Linked DNA regions of Drosophila melanogaster. The protein of the gene in region 2 purifies or fractionates together with the protein of the main gene of each other region. This does not show direct contact. Each region holds a gene or a part of one and is shown on either strand. Other genes may lie near its edges. The genes, in order: UQCR-11 and UQCR-14.

Evidence for each region.
Region 1: the proteins of UQCR-14 (region 2) and UQCR-11 fractionate together in Drosophila melanogaster (co-fractionation; one study listed by BioGRID). This does not show direct contact.

Annotation. Positions count from the first base shown.
Region 1 is NT_037436.4:25,113,607-25,125,152, forward strand, and holds UQCR-11 (Ubiquinol-cytochrome c reductase 11 kDa subunit), read left to right. Parts: upstream 1-7,142; 5' UTR 7,143-7,212; intron 7,213-7,271; 5' UTR 7,272-7,295; coding exon 7,296-7,379; intron 7,380-7,437; coding exon 7,438-7,611; 3' UTR 7,612-7,765; downstream 7,766-11,546. Other genes in the region: Set1 (SET domain containing 1), read left to right, coding at 428-1,061, 1,118-1,291; MED21 (mediator complex subunit 21), read right to left, coding at 1,613-1,999, 2,056-2,097.
Region 2 is NC_004354.4:16,284,369-16,296,065, reverse strand, and holds UQCR-14 (Ubiquinol-cytochrome c reductase 14 kDa subunit), read right to left. Parts: upstream 9,779-11,697; 5' UTR 9,657-9,778; coding exon 9,617-9,656; exon of another isoform or gene 9,502-9,616; coding exon 9,454-9,501; exon of another isoform or gene 9,391-9,453; coding exon 9,143-9,390; 3' UTR 9,078-9,142; downstream 1-9,077. Other genes in the region: ERp44 (endoplasmic reticulum protein 44), read left to right, coding at 1-19, 752-843, 948-1,341, 1,412-1,678, 1,753-1,951, 2,026-2,170; caz (cabeza), read right to left, coding at 2,871-3,180, 3,423-3,871, 3,956-4,125, 4,975-5,009, 6,744-6,840, 6,908-7,039, 7,109-7,115; CG32576 (uncharacterized protein), read left to right, coding at 7,659-7,683, 7,750-7,841, 7,930-8,108, 8,827-8,908, 9,932-9,976; eas (easily shocked), read right to left, coding at 10,963-11,044, 11,305-11,697.

The DNA.
Region 1 (11,546 bases), on a different chromosome or scaffold from region 2:
TACCCGTCACTCATAGAGTAAAAGGGTATACTAGATTCTTCGAAGGCACCGTCTCCGACCATACAAAGTATATATATTTTTGATCAGGATAGTGATGTCCGTCTGTCCATACGAACGTCGAGATCTCAGGAATTATAAAAGCTGAAAGGTTGAGATTCAGCGAACAGAATCTAGAGACTAAGACGCGGCGCAAGTTTGTTGACCCATGTTGCCACGCCCACTCTAACGCCCTAAAGCCGTCAAACCGGTCCACACTTTTGAACAATTTCTAGATTTTTTCTCATTTTATTCCCCAATATCAATATCCAGAAAAATTATGAAATATCGCGTTCGCATTCACACTAGCTGAGTAACGGGTATTTGATAGTCGGTTAACTCGACTAAATCATTCTCTCTTGTTTTTATTTTATTGACATTTGTTTTCTAGTATGTTTTTAAATAATACTCACTGGGTGGATCACTGCACAACTGACCGAGCTTTTTGGCCACCGCCATCAAAAAAGCGAAGAAAAGACGACGAACTGATCCGACATAAGACTGGATGTGCGCGAACTGAAGGATTTTACAAATTAGATGTTCGAGAAAAGGCTAAGCATAAGTACCATTATGCTAAAGCCAATACAGAAGATTCCTTTAATGAAGATCGGAGCGATGAACCTACAGCACTTACAAATCATCATCACAATAAATTAATTTCTAAAATGCAAGGAATTTCCCGCGAAGCTCGCTCAAACCAGAGAAGACTTTTAACAGCCTTTGGTTCTATGGGTGAGTCTGAGCTTTTAAAATTTAATCAGCTAAAGTTTCGGAAGAAACAGCTTAAGTTTGCAAAATCTGCGATACATGATTGGGGATTATTTGCAATGGAGCCCATAGCTGCAGACGAAATGGTTATTGAATATGTTGGTCAGATGATTCGACCTGTAGTTGCTGATCTAAGAGAAACAAAGTATGAAGCAATTGGGATTGGGAGTTCCTATTTGTTTCGAATTGACATGGAAACTATAATTGACGCAACTAAATGTGGAAACTTAGCTCGGTTTATAAATCACAGTTGCAATGTAAGTAAGCTGGATGTTCTGACATTATGTTACCAACATAAAATTTTGTTTTTCAGCCGAATTGCTACGCTAAGGTTATAACTATTGAATCTGAAAAGAAGATAGTAATATATTCAAAGCAACCCATTGGTATCAACGAGGAAATAACTTACGACTATAAATTTCCACTAGAAGACGAAAAAATACCTTGTCTATGCGGCGCCCAAGGATGTCGGGGTACACTTAACTAATACTTATTTACAACAATGAATTAAATATTTTAGAGCACATAAATTTAATTTGTTCATAAAATCCAAAGTGGGGTACGTGTAAGTATATATAGTTTTTTTTATAACTTAAAACTATAATTAATTATTATAAAAATTATATCAACGAGGTCAGAGGTGCTGTTCAAAATGGTTTAGGTCTAAATTAAGCTAAAATACTTTACTTATAAAAACAATATGTATATACTAAAACCCATTTGATCTGTAAACACGAACGAAAATGCAATAAATACATTATCTTAAATTTAAAAATAATTTGCCTTTATACAAAAATGTGTTAAGCAGCTATTGTAAATCATGTTTGAGTGTTATTTGCATATCTAATTGAGCCTGAGCAATGCATTCCAAAGAATACTGCATTTTTTCTAGCAAAAGTTCGCCTTTTTGCACTACTTCCTCTAGGTCTCTTGCAGTTCCCTGGTTTTCGATCTCGAGCCTCTTAAGGCTAGAATTTTGGAGTTCAATGGAGCTGTCTTCATTTGGAAGAGACTCGATTAAGGTGTCGATGTCTTTAGCACATCGTGCAATTAACTGTGCAAATAATTGGGCATAGTCTTCTTGCGGCGGACATGGGATTGGCGTTTGGGGTCCAATGCGTTCAAAATTAACAAATTTACTTGGAAGGGACGTTTGTTGAATTACACCAATAGCATTGCAGAAGTGCTCCGCTTGCTGCAATGATTATTTTACATAAAAAACTGGTTATTTCTTAATACGAAGTCACTTACCTGATTAACGGTGTCTTGCAATTGTGTAAGCCGATCCGCCATTTTACTACAGAGTTAATAATTCTGAAAAACAAAAAATTATATGGAATTAAGTTTGATTAGCCAGTTCAAATTTTGATTAACATTTTTAATATCAACATAACATAATCAACATAATATCAACATACAATGACCGTTGGTGATTTTTATAATATATAAGCATTTATTTATCGATTGATTTTATGTCTTATTTACAGATACCTCACAGCAGCGACTATTCTCTTAAAAAAAGAAATGCTATTAATATGAGTTCCACACTAAAACGTGATTTCTTTCAATGAGACGAATTATTCTTGTTCACACTGTGCCATAATAATGTCTTCATTCCAACGATATAAACTACCATAAGATTGTCGGAAACAGTGGAATCTCCATAATATATGACCACACGTTGCACATCGATCCCTCTTGTCTTGTTCAAAATCATCACAATTTCGGTTATAACAAGGAAGCAGTTGGTCTCCAAGTAGTCTGCAACCTCTCTCACACAATCTTGGTATATCCTTGAGGAGGGTATATCGATTTCAGTTATAAGCTTGCAACGAAGTGAAAAAAGCATTTCAGTCCAATTAAGTGGGTATAAATATCAGTAAGAACAGCCGTACCCTTTTTCACGATAATTATTCTTTTAATTTTTAACATATCTAAATCGGTTCACCATATCTTAAAGATGTCATATGAAAAATTTTAAAGCTACCTCTCTTGTTTTTTAAAGGTTTTTAAAAGCAACAAAGATTTTATGATACGAACACTTTGTGCCTCCGATTAGTTTTCTTGTGAGGGGATTTGAATGGGTGGTCAGTTTTACTAGGTATTTTAATTTTCTTCTCAGTTATTATTTCGATAAATAATTTGATTTTTTTCTCTCTGTGTATGTCTTCGTTCCGAAGGTATCACGCTCTAGTCAGAATTCTCAGAATTGTTGGCTGTTCTCGCTGAATGGATGCCCCACAGGTCGGAGCCATAAGTCCAGATTGGTTTTAAGACGGAGTTGTATAGGAGAGCTTTGAACTCCACGCTAAGTGGAGAGCGAGCATGAGCCAGTGAAGGTTCCTTGCATCTTATTGCGACTTCAGTAGCTTATGTATGTTTTGGAACAATAGCTTGGCTAGTTTAAGCAAAAGTCCATCCAGAAACACTGTCAAATGCCTGCGCGACGTCTAGTAAAATGGCTGTGTAATATTCTCGATGCTCAAAAGCAGTACGAATTTCTGACGTGATTCGATTGGCCTGTTCGATGGTTCCATGTTTTTTCCATGACGAGGGCTTATTCCCAGGAGTAGCATTTTTTCAAATAAATTTTAGAGATAAGTTAGTTACTGTATCGGTCTATATGATGATGGCTGCGTTTTATCTTTTCCTGGCATTGGAATCATTACTATGGTAGATTTTTTCCATTTTTGAGGGAAGTATCCATGCTTGGCGATTGCGTTGAACAACAAGCACATGTGCAGAACATCACACTGGGAGTTCAATAAGGATTTTTTGAGTTATTAGGTCGAAGCCAAAATCGCTTCAGTTGCTTTTTGATAACCTTTGCTAATTCACATAATCTAAGTTTGCTTCTGCTAAAGGAGGGAGAATAATGACTTTATAGCAGGATTTGGTAGAAATAAAATTTGTAAGTGGTCAGCAACTGCTCTGGCTCTTTTCTCATCACTGTCTTTTCTCTACAAAAGGTTCTTAGTGCTGGTGGGCATACGTCACTTTGCACCCGAAACTAGAATATTTTCAACAGTGTCCGTTGACTTGTCTATATTTTCCTTAGCAGATAATGCCGGCGTTAGTTCTATGTGTGATCTGGGTCTGGGATTTTTCTTGGGTCTGCTGGTCAGTATGTATTGGATAGCGTGGTGGGCAGTAGACTGCGGCTAGAGTCATTGAACCATTGTTGAGTAGTTAGACTATGGACGTAGATTGAGGTGGTTTTTATGCGATTTCTGATTAGTATGCCAGTGCCTCCAAGAGCTTTACCATCTGAATGATTTGTGAGGTGCGTTTCTGATAGTAGCATTACTCCAGTGTTTTTTTCGGTAATGAACTGTGTGAGTTCTTGTGTATGAAGTGAATAGATATCCGTAGGGAAGCCAGCATGGGGATTTTGAAGATACAAGAAGTTGTATCAGGAAATTTTGCACGTTTTGATCGTTATGAAATATTTCATGCTTTTCTGTAGGGATAGCATCATAGCTTCAATGCCACTTTGTTCAGTTTGTTGCATATTTGTCAATTTATGTTCGGAATGAGCAGTTCTAGTCGGTGAGGCGGGGACTTCTAGTCCGGATTTTAAGGCGCTAGCGAAGAAAATTCCAAGAGTAGTGCTTGGGACAGTTAAGGGTGGTTGAAACATCGAATGCGGAGAGCAGAAATTGACTTTGTTGTATGTATTTGCTATACGTTAAACCACACAGCAGTATGCCTTGGTGTGGCCGTATTCTTGGCAATCGCCTTCTGCTTTTGTTTTGGTTCTTTTTTTACGTCCATTATTGTTGTTGCCAATGGTCGGTGTTGCAGAATTATTTACAGCTGGCACAGCGATTAGTTGGGCCGCTAACGAAGTTGTTGTTGTGGTAGCAGTGACAGTTTCTAGGGAGGTCACTGCACTTGTTATTGCAGTGTTACAGTTACCCGGAATGTTCGATTGTGGCTGTGTGGGGAGCGGTGTAGGAGAGGCGGTCTTTTCGCTCCGCGAGAGCAAAAGCTTGTTTTTCGAGTTAGTTGAAGGTAAGGGTGCTCGATCATCGAATTGCCCCGAAACGAAAGCAATGTATGCATGGTTGCGTTGTAAAGAGAGACGGCGCTCAACTTATGAAGGCATTATTGGCAGCTTGTGTTACCGCAATTGGCGATTCTAGTTTTAAGGCAGATGGTTCGTCAGTAAATAACTACTCGACTGACATTACTGCTGCCATTGCTTGCAATGTCGTTGAAAGTCAGTCGTGCCTAAACATTGACATTTTCAGCTGAAACATATTCCTAAATCTGACGCTCGCGGACCCAAAGTGTCATCGTTTTCTACCCATAGACTTAATGATTGGCGCTAGTCTCTTCTACGAACTGCTGTGCGTCGGTCAAGTCAATACCACATGCAATTCTAGTGTCTTTGGTCGCACCTACACCTTTGACTTGGAGTTCTGCTGTTTCCTCTGCAAATAAGTCGCTCTCCAATTATTCATCATATTCTTTAGTAATTTATGCATAAACAATACACGACAGCGCCACTCGGTCGGTTGGGCGGGAGGTGTGGCCGTGGGACCCGTGCAATTGATAAAAAAATAAATTATCGTTCGAGATCGCTGCATAGAAATCGTCTTTTCTTTGCAAATAGCTAATAGAAGAGCTTATTAGTTAAACAGTATTAGTTTTGTAAATTTCTAACGGTATTCCTAAAAACTTTTTGCCACGCCCACAAACCGCCAAAAACTGCCTCGCCCACACTTTTTAAAAATGTTTTTATATTATTTCGTATTAATATTAGTCTTTTATCGATTTTGCAAAAAAAAAAGTTTTGCCATGCCCACTCTAGCGTGAACAAACCGCCCAAAACCGACCTTACCATTGAAAAATGTTTGATTCTTCTTCGTTTTATTGTTTGTCTTCCGGCATTTTAATCGGCATACCAAAGACACTTTGGTCACGCAAACACAAACAAAACGCCCAAAACACACTTTTGAACCATTTTAGGTTTTCCTCATTTTTTAAAATTATTCTAGTGTCTTTGTTTACTCATGCGTCTCTAATGTCTCGAATAAACTTTGCAAAGAAGCATCGAATCTATTTTCTGTGCTTAGAAAAGGGACATATGGCGCGGTTCTGTAGGATTGATGGAATTTAGTTTACTGTGGGCTTACAATCCTTAACTGGTCTGCTATGGAAGAATTACGAGGTGAGGCTGACAGGCAGCTATAATATGAGGGTCATCAACATTGACAGCATACAGAGAAATTGAAAATGGCTATGTCAAGATGATACGTACAGTGACAGTGACAGTGTCTGCCACACTTCGGTGTCGAAAATCCAAATGAACCTACCAAAATACGTATAATCTACGTAATCTATAATGACGCAGCCAAGTCCCGGGATTAGGAGCTGCTTCAAGGTTTCTTGCAGTACACGTTCCTGTCGGAAGTGTGTGTACTTCAGGGAAGCAGCAGTCGGGGTCTAAAGATGGCCCAGGAATTGTCGACAGTCGCACTGAGGAATTTTATAAGCTGCCGTGGACCGGTGGCCAGATTGAGGAGTCAAAACGGAGAAGATGTAGAACGAACTGTCATCAAATTAAATGGAATGAAAATTTCAATGCCGGGCAGGAGGCGTATGCGAGCGGATGGTCCACGGGTTGAAGAAGGTACTCGCGCATACTAATAAAAAAATTAAGGTTAGTTTCAAATATTTTAGGTCTTTTTATTCTGCTTTTTACCACACTATGGTTCCTATTCAAATACAAATTACAACAACTATTCAATACAAATTTTATTTGTGTGTGTAATTTTATAGAGAACACGCATAGTTGTATATATCAATAAAGAAGTTTTCGCATCAGTTTTATGAAAACTTTCTATCACTTAAGCATATATTTATTTGATTGCTTTTAATTAGTTATTGTTTAAAAACTAGAGCAAAAAGAACCAAAAAGACAGAGAAGACAACTCTGGCCCACAACGAATTAGTAATTATTAATTTTCAGTAGATATTTTATCCACTTTTTTTATCAGCTTTTAGCTGATTGAATTTCGTTTTAAAAACACCACGTCATTTTTAAATGTTTGCCTCCAAAAACATGTATCAAGGGAATCAGGAAAAAATTATGAAAAGTTTTAAATAAAAGTTTATAGCCTAAAAAAAATTATCTGACCCCCGTCACGGCGGACAACTGGCCAAAAATTATTTTAATTGCTTTGATTGTACCTTGTGTGAACAGATTTTAACATCTAGGTAAAATTGCAAACGGTTCATAAAGATGTATTCTATTGGGGCTAGGCTATAAGCTTAGCTAATTGATATATATGCATAAAATAATCTGTTTTTGTTGGTCTGGCCCTCATAATTCAGGCATACATAAAATACATTGTGATTGCATCATAGCGGTCTTAAAGGTTATAGTTATTTTTCAAAAATGTAATTTACGTTCATATTCATAAAATTTGGTACTATATATGTTTTTGAATTCTGACTAGTTTATTCTCTTTTTAGCATTAATAATGGCTTTTAGGAACTGGTTTTCGCTTCCCGCCGTCAGAGCTGATGACGAAGAGGACTTAGTTGACCCTCAAGCAGTTTTAAGGGTAAAAAAGATTTCTTTACATCATTTAATATAACACTAAACTGATTTTTATGCAACAGGAAAAATGTCAAGCTAAAGGTCACATAGAATCCTTGTACAATAAGTACCAAGAGTGCAATGATCGTGTTAATGGGCGATCCAAAACAACTGAGACTTGCATCGAAGAATTATTTGACTATGTTGCTGAGTTAGATCATTGCGTTTCGCACAGTCTTTTTACAAAGCTTAAGTAAATACCATTAAAGTCAATTCCATTAAAGGGAAGGGCAGTGCTTAAAAATAAGAACATAAATAAACAAATCTCTTTATCGAGTTTTATACGTGTTTTGTGCCTTTTGGTGATCAGAACCTTTTAGAAGCGAAATTGGGTAGGTAATACTACACTAGTGGGCATAAGTATTTGCACGCCTTTGTTTTAATACTAAACCAAGGGTATTCTATTAAGTTGAGGGCTGGAATTTGAGGTGGCCAATCCAATGTTTTTATGCAAACATTTTTCAGAAACAGTAATCAGTTTGGTCTTATAACAGGGAGCATTATCATGCTGGAGTATGAAGGACTCTCCAATCAATTCATCATCATTATTATTAAGGACATCTAAATATTTTATTTGATTCATGTGTCCATCAACAGGAACCAAATCTCCCAAGACAGTGAAGGCTACGCATCCCCAAAACATAACAGACCCTACTGACTATTCTTTGACATTCTGGTGCCAGTTTTTTTCGATATTCCGATATCGAATTTTCGAAATTTAAAAGGTGGAACCATTTGCCCATGTTTTCCATTGCCAGCGCTTATGCAATGCATTTGCGCTGCAAATGTGTCTGTACGTATGTATATATTTATAATACATTGAAGTATTTGTATTGAGTAAAGTAATATGAGTTTACTGAGTGGGCTTCTTTTTTATTTTAGTTTATTTTTATTGATATTGTTTTCATTAAGTGATGCCATCAACTATGAATAAAAAAGTTTTAACGTGTAATTATGAACTACTTGTTTTTTGTTTAGTTACTTAATTTCATAACAAAACTATCTCCCACTGCTATTTTTATTTTGTTATGTGTAAGTCATTATTTTCATTATTCTTTCATTTATACTCTTCATGCATAGTTCTAGTTTTCTTATATGGTACTTCCAATCTTCATTTACTTTCCTTCTTTCCTATATGATAAATCGGCTGCTCTGCCAAAAACTATATGGAAACTATAGAACGGGTTGTATAAAACAATGTACGAAATTCTGAAGCCACAGGTCCCAATCAGTTTTATCAACTGATATGTATTCAACTGATAAGTTTTCAGATGGTGGTGAGCGGTAAATGTTAAATTTTTAATTTTAAAATTTTTGCAAAAATCGTTGATTATTGAGTGCTTATACTCTGTACCCATGAACGTTTTCAATGGACCGTAAGTCAGGATAAAGGATTCGAAAATTGAATTAGCGACTTGCGATCTTATATAGTATTGGTATTGCAACTAAATATTTAGTTAAGTTACAAATAAAGGTGACTGAAGACTCATTACCATTATCCGACTTTGGTAGAGGAGGACCTATATTACCCACTATTACTTTGTCGAAAGCATAGGGGGTTTCTGTTATTGGGGTTTTCCGTATGCTTAGTTATTTTATTTTTTTGCATTTTAGACATTTCTTGTTGTAGGTTCTGATTTCTTTAGACATACCTTCTAAGCCTTTGAAATGTCATATCTTGCAGTAATTGTTTTTCCTTGTTTAAAAAAACAACATTTTATTTACTATCACGTTTTCTATCGATTGCATATGCAAGGATGTTTTGTGCGTTCCTCCTGCGCAATATTTTTGACTACTTTGTAATCGTGAAGTGACTTTCATTATATTACCAGTAATGTCTTTTAATTCTTTGGTGGTTATTCTTTGTAGCGCATCAGCAAAATAATTTTCTTTTCCTCTGAGATCAACTGTAAAACTATATTCCCCCAATTCAAGTCTTATACGAGTCAACTTTGAAAACAAATTGGTGAGTGATCTACGATCTGCTTTGACTGTAAAATGTTTACCGTAAATATAGGGTCTAAAGTGGGTTATTGGTCAATGTATTGCTTTTAACTCCTGTTCCAATCTGCTTGTATTGCTTTCACCCTTTTTTACAAAGAGCCTATTGGCCAAACAACCAGCGCGACAGGCAGGTTGGAAAAGTTTGCAGTCATACGACGAACCAAAATTCGGGGGCGGTTAAAAAAAACCCCATTTTGTTAGAACTCCAATGTTTGTTAGAACTCAAAGTGGTTTCTTTAAACAAAAGCCACACAAAAGTGCAGGTAATGGGCAAAGCCAACTGGCGCTAGAGCCAATGGAAGTTGACCCCTCCTCCCGGTCCAAACAAACTACAAGATGGTAATGAGGGCGGTCAGCACGGTCTCAGCAAAGAAGATAATGACTTCGTTGCCCAAGCAAGCGCCATAGAAGTAGAGGACGAACTGGATGCAGAGGATCGTGAAATTTTTTAGGGTAAAGTTCCCTAACATTACACGTAGGGTGGCTGGAGGAGAAATAAAACTATTACTCGATACGGGCACCTCAAAAAATTATATTACTCCTCTCCCGGGACAGAAAAACCCTTTACTGTATAGTAAATCCATGGCCAAAATTAATTAAAAATGTCTTGTTTCGGTGTTTAACGTAAAAACACCCTTTTTTATTCTGAACAATTCTAATTCTAAACAATTCTAAACAATTAAATGCAAAACTTGATTTTACCAGAAATGTTCTAAATACTAGTAACGGAACTGAAAAGATCCAGTTTACTAGGGCAGAAAACGTTAGCTTCATTGAAATCGATGATGAAGACGTATTAAAAACTCCTTCGATAAAATGATTGTTAAAAATCACAAAGCCTTCGCTGACCCAGACGGGGCATTACCATTCAATATAAATACTATCGCCACAAATAAAACAGATGGGGAGCCAGTATATTCAAAATCATAGCCGCATCCCATTGGTGTGACTAAATTCATCAATGCAGAGGTTAAACAACTTCTAGCGGACTGTTTAGTAAGGTCATCTAAAATAACTTTACAACCCGACCTGGGTTGTAGACAAAAAGGGAACAGATCAAAACGGGGTAAAAAAGTAACGGCTAGTTATCAATTTTAGAAAACTAAATCAGAGAACAGTCGACGATAAATACCCTATCCCAACCATTTTAAATTTTATTACGACACTTGATCTTAAGTCATGCTTTCACCACATAAAGCTGGCAGAAAAGGACAGAGAAAAGACGGCATTTTCAATAAACAACGGCAAATACGAATTTTGTAGATTACCATTTGGGCTTAAAAATGCCCCAAGCAAAGGGTCATTGACGATGTCTTAAGAGATGGAATTTCAAAGATATGCTACGTGCACGTCGATGACTTCATAATTTTCTCCAAAACAAAGGAAGACCACGTTAAGGACGTGGATTAAGTTTTAAGAAAACTCCTGGAGGCAGGCATGCGAGTATCCCAGGAGAAGTCAATGTTCTTTAAAAAGAGCGTTAAATACTTGGTGTTCATAGTGTCACAATCGGTTCTACGAAATTCACCTGAAAGGGTCGAAGCCATAAAATAATTCCCCATACCTAAAACGCTTTTCGAACTCAGATCATTTCTGGAATTAGCAGGCTACTATAGGTGTCTTATAAAGGACTTTGCGACAATCGCAAGGCTTTTAACGAATATCCTAAAGGGAGAAAACTTAAAGCAAATCTTGAGGGAATATTTTTTCCCTAAGATGCTACGGTTAGAAACAGAACAACTTTGAACTGCAAGACGTGCTCAATGGCTAAATACAAATGTCATCCATCCAAATAAGCGGTAGCAGAAACACCGATACCTTCCTATGTGGGGGAAATCCTTCACATCGACATAATTTCAAAATATGGAACCCTTTTTCTACGTGCATTGATACATTTTCGAAATTTGCCACAGTGCAGGCCAAATTTCGAAAGTTTCTTTCCAAAAATAAAAACCATTTACTGCGATAACGAAAGATCCTTAAATTCCGAAACCAATGTTAGTAAATCATTTTAGTATCACCATTTCCAACGCCCCTCCTCTACAGAGCACCTCAAACGGTTAGGTAGACAGGTTTCATAGTACCCTGGCAGAAATAGCCAGATGGAAACCGGCCTAAATGGCACAAC
Region 2 (11,697 bases):
AATATCGATATGACCCTAGGTGAGATATGCCCATACCATAACCATCACAGTCATCCCCATGCCATTCCCGCTGCCAGCGTGAGCGGGAATCAATTAGCCGACTTGTCCCATTGACGTGTCACTAAACAAAATCACTGGCTCGCTCAATTCGGCACTGCCAACGTGGTAAAATAAGTTTTATGCGCTTTCGTAAAGGACAAGGTGTGGAATTTGGATAAAACTTAATTAGGGCGGTTTATATTTCATGCTGCATCGGTCCGATAGTCCGCCAAAATGGGCACTAGCCATTGGTCGGCAGTTCTTTGCTCAGAATGTCCGAAGTTTGGTCTTTGCATGAATAGGTCCTTTTTATACGGTGTGTCCTGTACACAATCCTGCGGTAATACTATATTGTTTTTTTAAAGTTATTTTTTTTTATTATCCAAACGTTAACTTTTACAGTAAAGCCTGGCCTTAGGCTTGCACCCCTTAAATTTTAACTTTCGGAAGTTATGGAATAGTAGGATGCTAGAAATTTCTTGACTTTAATATGTATATTCAGCGACAAATTTAAATATATTCCATAAAAATACATATGCATTTAAATTATTAATACATAAACCCGTAATTCAATATTGATATAAATATATTACCAAATATATGTTTTTAAAAGTTATTATATTTAGTATCTGAACGGAGTTGTATTCTACGCATCAACAATTTTACACACAATTTGGTGCCTACATTAAAAACACGTTTTGTTTTCTTGCAGCGTCTAATGAATTGGTTTTCCTTAATTTTTATGCGGAGTGGTGTCGGTTTAGTAATATTTTAGCACCTATATTCGCGGAAGCTGCAGATAAGGTGAGTCAAATGGATCGCCAGTAAAAGCTTACAAACAATGCGATACATTCATATACATTTTATATCGAATAAATACGTGGCATTCAATCGAATTTCTCTTACAGATTAAAGAGGAGTTTCCAGAGGCTGGAAAAGTGGTGCTAGGCAAGGTCGATTGCGACAAGGAAACGGCCATCGCGTCCCGTTTCCACATAAACAAGTATCCAACATTGAAAATTGTACGCAATGGGCAGCTCAGCAAGCGCGAATACCGAGGACAGCGTTCAGCCGAAGCGTTCCTCGAGTTCGTCAAGAAGCAGCTGGAGGATCCCATTCAGGAGTTCAAATCCCTGAAGGATCTGGAGAACCTGGACTCGAAGAAGCGCCTCATTCTGGGCTACTTCGATCGTAGGGACCAGCCAGAGTACGACATATTCCGCAAGGTGGCGACAAATCTGAAGGAAGACTGCCAGTTCCACGTGGGCTTCGGAGATGCCGCCCAGGCCATGCATCCACCAGGTGAATTCTATCAAACGCACCAAGTCATGCCAAGCCAATACTGAATGTCAGCTTTTTTGGTCTATTACAGGTACACCTATCATAGTATTTAGACCTGATGTAGCTCTGTCTCATGAGAACGATGAGACCTACACTGGCAGCCTACAAAATTTCGATGAGCTCAAAATTTGGGTCCAAGAGAAGTGTGTACCCCTGGTGCGGGAAATAACATTTGAGAATGCAGAGGAACTTACGGAGGAGGGTCTGCCGTTCCTAATTCTCTTCCACCACCCAACCGATCATAATTCTATCAAGGATTACAAGTCGATCATTGAGCGTCAATTGCTGGATGAGAAACGTAAGATGAATCATCGTGTTGTTTACTTTGCATATAAGCATTTGGTTTGACATTGTATTTTCGAAATTTTGCAGAGAACGTCAACTTTTTGACCGCCGATGGCAAGCGATTCGCGCATCCTCTGCACCATCTGGGTAAATCCGAGGATGACTTGCCCTTGATTGCCATCGACTCGTTCAAGCACATGTATCTGTTCCCCCACTTCAGTGACATGTACTCGCCGGGTAAGCTGAAGCAGTTCCTTCAGGATCTCTACAGTGGCAAGCTGCACAGGTAATTGTTATACAGCCGCCTTTGCTAACACCATGGGGCTCAATTACTAAACGGTCTGCTGCTTTGCTTTCCAGGGAATTTCATTACGGGCCGGATCCCTCAAATGATATTGAACCTGACCCACACACTGGCAAGGGTACATCGCCACCAGAGTCCAAATTCAAGGAACTTGGCCCATCCAAGCATCGCTACACCCTGCTAGAAAAAGATGAACTGTAATATAATAATAATAATGTATATTGAAAATAAAAGAAAATAATACAAAAATGTAATAATGAGCAACCTTCTCTGAAAGCAGATCAGCAGGTGAGCGGTTATCCATGCAAATAGCGGGCGCAGCAGCCTCAATTCTCTTCAATGCAATTCTAAAAATAAAAAGTCTGGATTTAACCACCTTTGTTATTGCAAAAAGAAACAGTTGCTGAATTATCCACAAATTGCACGCGTCACTTTTCAAGTTTTCCTCGTTTTGTTGTTAAAAATTACGCTGGAGATTTCGGCGAGGCGAACTTATTGAATTCTTTGGAATCCCCTTCTTAGTCAGCTAAGCTGGAAATGAATGATGTCAACTTCCGAATTCAAAGCAGTGATTTTGATTTTCTCTATATATATATATATATACACATATATATGAGCTATATATGTATACATATATATATGTTTATTCGTATGTACCATGTTACAGTTACAGTTGTTAAATTAGATTACATAATTATATAATATAATTCAGTCAAAACGAGCGATAACCGTGTGTGTGTTGGGATAAAAATCGGTTCAAATGAAGTCGTGTGCTGGCAATTATCATTTAAAAGTTGCTCTGACTGTTAATTTTAAAAGTACATTTAAAAGCGTACTCTCGCTACAATTAATAAGTAAAAGTGAAAAAAATAGGTGCCGCGTTCGGCTGGCTACCATGCGCTTAATATGGTCTCGAGCGCATGCCTCCATCGTTTCTCATCGGTCCACCATCGCGGCGATTGCCGCCACCACCTCCACGGCCACCGCGTCCTCCGCCATTGTTGTCATTGAAGCGGGAGTAGCCACCACCACCGCCGCCGCCGCCTCCGCCTCCCTGCGAGTTGCCACCGCGATCTCTGTTGTGATATCCACCGCCGCCGGATCCACGATCATTTCCTCGGTCGTAGCCTCCTCCGCCACCACCGCCGCCGTAGCCGCCGCCTCCACCACCTCCGCTAGAGCCCTCGTCGTCGCCCTTGGGAGTCTTACATCTGCAAATGGACGTGATTATTATTATCGTAGCAAGCCAAAGATTGTAAAATTTGTAGTTCCCCAAAGATAAAGACTTATGGCAATTATGTGGCGTATCAGCAAAAATTGCTTGCTTTCAAACACTGATAAGTTTTTCGTCTACACTTTGGGTTCTCCACGATATTTACAAGCAAGTGTGGAGTTTTAGGAATTATGATGGAATGGAATGTTGAAAGCAATTATATCTCAACTCTCAACTCACCTATTGCATTCGTTGCGCCAGGCAAAGTTGGTGTTATTACAGCTGTTGCATTTCCAGTCACCATCACGGGGCTGCACGTTGCCACCGCCGCCGCCACCACCACCGCCTCCTCCGCGATCGTAGCGTCCGCCGCCACCGCCTCCTCCGCGATCGAAGCGACCTCCACCGCCGCCGCCACCTCCTCCGCCGCCACCACCACCGCGACGTCCGCCAAATCCTCCGCGACCACCACCACCGCCGCCGCCGCCTCCGCCCTTGTTCCAGTTGTTCTGGCGCTGGGCCAGCGACACCTTGATCGCATTGCCGTTGAAGTCGCGTCCATCGAACCATTCAATGGCGGATTGTGCAGCATTGGTGTCGTCGTAGGTGACAGTGGCCTCTCCCTTGGAGGCGCCGGTCTCCTTGTTCTTGTACAGCCAAATCTTGGGCTTCATTGTACGCTTGTCTTTCTGTTGTTAGATCAGTTGCAAAGGAATAGAAAGATACAAAGGTTAAAACGTAGCTACAGATACATAAAATACATTACTACTTGCCTTGATGATGCCAATTGCTCCAAAGTGTGTCTCAATGTCCTGCTCGGTGGTCGAGGGATCCATGCCGGAGACAAAGATGGTGTCCTCCTGGGTGATCATGTCGTTGCCACCGGACCCACCGCCGCCGCCTCCTCCACCACCACCGCCGCCGCCCGAGTATCCTCCGTGTCCTACAAAAGCGAATGGGAAATAAGGACGAGCTGGCACGGCAGGGTATAGCTTAGAATGCAACTGCTACTTTATTTAATTAATATTTGGTTTTTTCATTTTCTTTTTTTTGTTTTGTTTTTTTCTTAGAACTTCTCGCCTCACTGCAACCACCAAAAAATGCAACGAAGGTGAGGACCAAAGTAGACGGCTGTTCCGTGACATTTTAACCAGGACACTTAGATGTGAAACCAGAATTTTGAGGTGTATTTCAAAAAACCTTTAGTGGGTGGACGACCGTGGGAGAGACGACATGGGGACACTTTGAACGGGTTTCGGTCGGCTTTTGAGCTATCAAAGCCAGACTGACTGGTACACAAGAACACAAACAGGTGACCCCAAATTGCCAGGAGTTAGCCCGACCGACCAACCCTTGATTTGATTCGTGACAACGCTTTGACACATGTATACAACACTTTACAGAAATTAAATACTAAATACCCGTGGGCTGACCGAGTCGGTCGTTAACCATTATATATTGATCAAACAGAGATCAACGATTTGGAAAAGTACGCTAAATACACTTTATAGGTAACGATGCGTGGACTTTTCGACGAAATTTCAAATGGGCAAGGCCCCACAATGAAAAGAATGCCGCCAGGAAAGGAGGATGTTTGTTTAATATGCATATTCAATTATTTACTCTTTTGGTTTGGAATTAGACTCTGTTTTTATGTTCTAATCGGTTTGGGTTTTCTTTTTTGTGTTTAAAATTTTGTTGTTCTACTTCGATTTTAGATTCAAGTTCAATATGTAGAAAAATATTGGTATACATTACTCGATATGTTTGCAATTGTTTGCATTATTTTTACCTTTGTTGTAGCTGTCCTTGCTGGCGCCTCCATTTCTAAAAGAGGATATTGAATAACTTATTTAATGCTTTGATTTTGGTTTTAATGCAGTATGGTGAGGTATACGCCTAGGATCCCTTGTTAGAATACGTATTGCTTTGTTCGATCTTATGGCATCTAATACCATCTATAGAGCACCCGGCACAGTTCGGTCAGTGACGACGACGTTCAAACAGCGAATGTCCGTTTTGTTGCTTTCCATCACAAAATTAGAGCCAAGTGCGGCGGCAGTCACTGATCAAACTGCCAAGGAGGACAACGTACATACTGTTTGCCATACATACACCTAACTCTTATACACATAATCTTAACGTTTGCATTAGTCTACTATTGGAAAAGCATTTGTTTACCAAATTCACAGAAATGAGAGGGAAGGAAGGAGTTCGACCCAGTTAAATACACTTATGTATGTAGTAGGTATATCGCAGCAAAATACCATCGTTATTAAACACACAACACTACCTACATACCTACATTCTTGCTTAACTACTATAAAACAAGCTTAAATGATAAATAATTCAAAAGTTTAGTAGTTTAGTAGTTGTTAAAATCACAAACAAAAAAAATACCTTAAAAACGGTCAATGAGATTGAAACTATATAAAACAAATTGCTTAAAACTATCTTACATTTAGATTGTTAGAGGTAAGCTCTCTCTTAGGCGCAAAATCATTGCTTTCTTATGTGTATAAACATATGTAATAACCTTAATAGCTAATAATTAAAATTTGTTATTATTTTTGTATACGTAAATACCTTAAGATGATTAGAGTCTCAGAACCATACCAATTCCTCCGAACTGTGCATTAATAATATATCGAATTTTTTTATTGTTTATTGTTTTTGTCTCGAGCCACAATTTATTTAATTTTATGATTGCTGGTTGATATTTTTTATATTCTTTTTAGCTTTATATCTTCGATTACACTTGTGTCATGTTTGATCTGGTTTTCATAACCATCCTGTTGGGAACACACACATTTTTTGAATGTTCATTTTGGAACATGTTTATGCTAGCATTGTATCGTATTAAGGCAGGAATGGATGATATAGTGTATGGTTTAAAACGATAATAATAACATGTGCGCGATTCTCTATGCAATTATCACAAATTCATCATAGATTTCATTAGGCGACCATTATTATTCCGATTGCAACGACTGTGGTATTACTTATTATTACTTATTCAGTATAACCAGTATTATTTATGCATTGCAGATATTTGTTTCCCCAGGGCATCATCTGTTTTTTTTTTTACCATTATACTCATTTGACTCGTCAAAACCATTTTGAAATACCATTTTCTAATATTTTTACACAGATTTTCGATGAAAAAAAAACAAACGTACATGAAATACAGTCATGCGGATAAATAATAATTTGCCAAATTGGGAGATACGTTTTTTTTTGTTGTTATAATTTTATGTTTTCTGCGTTTTTAAGCAGTCGGAACAAGTCGTAGTTGCAGGAATAGCTTCAAGCAGTTTCACACTCTGATGCAGCACAGTGCATCTCTTGCATTTCAATAATATCTTTAAAATACGCTTCATGTTTCAAGGAGTGGCTCGGTGTCTTTTCTCATTGGTTTGGCTGGATTGATTTGTAAATATTTATATATGCGTACACTTCTCTTATAACACTTAAAAAACCTCCGTGAAAGACTACTACCCATGATCTAAATAGCCTCGCTGTAACTCAACAGCAGCGAAATACTAAAAGTGGATAACATACCCGTAGGAATTGCCTCCTCTGTCGTTCCATGATCCGCCGCCGCCGCCACCGTTGCCGCTGCCACCAGAACCACGATGACCGGAACCGGAATCATAACCTTAAAAACATAAGTTTGTGAGTATTGGTGTGTTGCTCGCAACACAAAGTTCGCATGCACGCCTTACCACCGCCTTGTTTGCCGTAGTTCGGAGGTGGCTCGTTGTAGTTACCCGTTTTATTTGGCATTTGCTGGTAATTTGGTGGGGGGACAGCGAAATTATTATATCCCTGTCCCGAACCACCACCATAACCGCCACCTAGAGTGCACATATTTCATCGTTTTCAATTCACGTTGCGACTTATGCGCGTGTTAAAATTATACTTACGTTCCATGTTTAATAAACGTTGCGTGAAGTCTTTTTTTAATCAATAGAATTGCAGGAGTTTCAATAACTCGCTGCGTACAAATTGCTCGAATTGAAGAAAGCGTCAGATCGTCACAAATTCTATTGTAAAATGGCGTGTGAAAATTAATTAGGGATGTGCGTCGAAGGGGGCTGGTATGTGTGGGTCTTGTAGCGCCTATCGAAATATCTATCTATATATCATTGAAATGTGTGGGAATGGAACACAAATATGCCGAATATTATATTTGTGGGAAAATACGTATTAAATGGTAAAAATAGTTTTATTTAATACATTTTATCATTTATTTGCATCCAAATGGACTGAATCCAAGAGGTTTTAAATAATTAATCGGCAGCTTGATCGCTTTACAACACTAAAGCGCTTGCATCCCTGCAAACATTGTTTACAGTCGTTAGCACGTAACTTTGAATGAAAGTCGAAATCAGCTGTTTGTGCTTTGAAATTGAATTGGTGTTTACGTGGATTTAATTTTTTCTGAAATCAAATTAAAGCAGAGCCAAATACAAAATGATTGAAATATCAGATTTGCAGAGTAAGTAGCCATTAATATGCGAAAGCCATCAGCGCAACTAAACCGCCTATTGAAATCTTCCCGCAGAAATTGGCATCGGCTTGGCTGGTTTTGGCATTTTCTTTTTGTTTCTCGGCATGCTGCTGCTGTTCGATAAAGGACTGCTCGCCATTGGCAATGTACGTTACCCACATGCACATGCACCATATGCCCCATATAGCACACCCTTCGAGCTCTATAATAATAGCAATCGCCTCTTTCCCGCAGATTCTATTCATATCGGGCCTGGCCTGCGTCATTGGCGTGGAGCGCACGATGCGCTTTTTCTTCCAACGGCACAAAGTCAAAGGCACAACGGCCTTCTTAGGGGGAATCGTCATCGTCCTGCTGGGATTCCCCATCTTCGGCATGATTATTGAATCCTATGGATTTTTCGCACTCTTCAGGTTCGTAGCACCCTGGCCAAGTCCCAGTCGGATTCGTTTAAGACCATTTGAGCGGGGCTAACCGGTTACGCACTCCACATGGTCTTTTCGCTTTCCCGCTCTTAATACACCATTCGCAAGTCAGGGCTTGGCAGTCAAAGTTGCTGTCAGATGACATCCTTTAGAAATATTTTATATTTTAATTGAAAGACTGCAAGTCATGTAGATGGGACAATTTGACGCTGTGGCATTAACAGCAAATACCAAGTATAATTCTTCAGATTCGCTTACAAAAAAAGCTCGATCAGATTTTATAGCATTTGATCAGAGCTAAAGAAAGCAAAAAGTATGTCCTTCATTATAACTATTCGCTGTTTCTGTCTGTTTTGTTCTGTTCTGTCCTTTTATACATTTTTTCCTATCTATACCTCTCTCCTTTTACCTTTTCAATTGCATGCTTCTTCATAAGTTACGACCAAAGGTGCAACTTAATAATTACCCTAATATATGTAGGTCTTTTTATTCATTAAAATATCTTTTAACGAACGTTAAAAGGTCTGCTTCATATATATCGGATTAATGAATGGAAATCTATTCAAAGTAGGGAAAATATTCAGTGAATATAAGAATTTAACTTAACTTCGAAACGTGCAAGATGGCAATACAAGTGGAAGTAACTTCTTTTAGTGATTTGTCGTTTACTTATTACTTATTAATGTCCTTCTCTTTATATTTTCAGCGGCTTCTTCCCCGTGGCCATTAATTTCCTAGGCCGAGTGCCTGTTTTAGGATCGCTGTTTAATTTACCATTTATACAAAAGGTAAGGTAGCATGGAGCCTCACAAAAAATAAAAAATATAACATAGCAAATAGCCCATACTCATGATCACTTAACGCGCTCATCTCGCCTTGACGCGAAAGCCCATTGAAATAAACTGAAGGGTCCACATTCCCAAACGACCACGCAGACTCGATTTCATAGCCAATTTTGGTATTTATCTAAGCTATGTATTTCAACATTTACAAGTCCAAAGTAGAGGGATTTAGTGGCGCGTTTAGTGGATCTTTTCCCAGTCCTCACGCTCCTCGCGCTCCTTCACGACCTCCTTGAGGTAGGGTTCCAGATACTTGACGTCCTCCTCGTACTTGGTCCACTGCTCCTTGGGCAGAATGGTCTTGGTCATGGACAGATGGAGGGCCCTCATGATGCGGTAGTTACGCTCATCGTACAGCTTCCTGGGCAATCGGCGCACGGCCTCCTTCACATCCTCGTTCTCATACAGACAATCATCGCGATGCAGACCTGCAAAAATCGATGGCATCAAGCTCAGCTGTTAGGAATCACTAGGTTATATAGTAGTCCTACCGTATTGGTTGAATCCGGAGAGATTGTAGGCCCATCTGCCCAGATTTGCTGTGGGGAAAAATTCGCATTACATATTTACGTAATCATAATATTCCGGCGTACTGCACTACGAAATTTGTTGCATGCAACGTGAGTCCGATTGTTGCCCGTTCGTATTACTTACAGAGAACTGCGGGTCCCTTTCTGGCAATATAGTTCGACATGGTTTACGTAAAATCAGAAGTCGGGAAAGAGATATTCCTCCAGCCTTTTTATTTTAGGTATGAGAACGTTGGAGATGGGTCTCTCGATAGCTATCGCACCCCGTTATCGATCAACGAGCACTACGGTTGCGTTTGTACAAATCGATTTCCGAAATGTAATACAGACACACTGCACCTATCGATATATCGCACTCAAGAAAATTCGTTATTCTTTAGTTTTAGAGCTATTAAATATATTATCTTTTAACATTTTACCCTTTTGTATTTGTATTTAGATTGTTCAAAAACTTGGTGGAGACGGCAACCGAACTACAGTATAATTACATCTCCAAAGTTGGTCATTTTGCAATAACTTTTTGTATAAAGTAAATAAAATCAATTCAAATTCTTGTAAACCCATTTAAGCCCATGTAAAAATCCGCCTTCATAAACAAAATACTTGTAGTTTATCAAACCGAATGATTGTGGCTTTCTCCTTTTGTAATTTGTTATGGGAAACACTCAAAAAAGGTTTTTAATTTGGGTTAAGTTATAATTTATGTTAACCAATAACCTCGATTAAATTAATTATAAAAATGATGCCTGAAGATATACAACTTTCACTTAACTTGCAACACGGGTATTGTATATTAAACAGCAAACAAAAAAGGCAAAAATGTTGGTAATTAGCGGAGTGCTTCGACAAGCGGAAATCCCTACTTCTCATTTAAATAATATTTCCCCAATTTTTTGCGATAAGCCCCCGCCAACGGTAAACCCTTCATTAAAATGATTGATAGCGTTTTTATTTTAAAGTACATACCTTCGCTTTATTATGACTACAAAATATCAATTTATACAAATTAAAGAACATATACAAATTCTTTATATATACAGTGCCCTCCCTTAAGAGTGAACACTCGAATATGTGAACTTTTTAGTAAAAGTGAACGATTAATTTATGAAATTTTAGAAACTTTCGCTTAACTTAGTAAAAAAATTAAATTTTTTCAAACGTGGTGTTTTTGAAAAATATATTAAATTGTTTATTTTTTCTGTGATTCGTTATAGTGAACAAATTCGATTCAGTGCACACCCTTGGTTCTCAATAGTCCACTGTTTCGAGTGAGCACTGTACATACACTAAGGCTGGCACGAACACGACACTAATTTAAGTTTGTTTCGGTTTTTGTTTCTGATTTCTGAACACACGTTATATATATACATATGTATAACATTGAGACCCGTTCCAGCCTTAGTTTATACATATATCACTGGGCACATAATGTAGTAACTCCCAATGCGCTGAGTGGCCGGGAGAGAGAAATCACTTATTGTTCTTAGCTGCAGTCAATGACAAAAACTCCACCTTTCGAGCCAAGTACTCATTATAACGAAGAAATGCATAGCTAAATGGGGCGAATAAAAAATTGGTCATTAGTATCGATTGGTTGTAAGGGTCGTAATTGGGGGAAAAAAGGAATTGCAGGGTGCACAATAATATAATAAATCCATTATAATGGCCGTCTAATGGTTGTTGATGGATCTTATCAAACAAAACTGATATATATACTGATGATATATATCTATATATCTAAAGGATTTATCATCTAATTGCATCGTGCATTCCCAACTCAAAGTTACAGTCCATATACTATGCAACACGCACCCTACGTAGTCGAAATCGATAGTGGAATGCTCGGCTTGCAACAGGGACCACACCGTCCAAAAGATATGCGATGCCAGCGCAAACTGATTGACCTGGACATAGAGCAGTTCGACTTCGTCGTTTTGAATGTTGCTGCGCTGTAGGTACTCCTCAAGGTAGACCCTCAGCCACTGGAGCTGGAACTCGCGCTTCGGATAGCGCGAATAGTCGACCTCATCCACGCCGCACATCTCCGCAAAGTGGTTGCCAATGTCGAAGGCCTGGAAATTGTAATCGGCATACTCGTAGTCGATGAAGTTCACCGTATTCAGGCTCTGCGTATAGATCACATTTCCCAGCAGAAGATCGTTGTGGGAGAAGACAATCGGACTGTCCAGAGCCTCGAGGTATTCA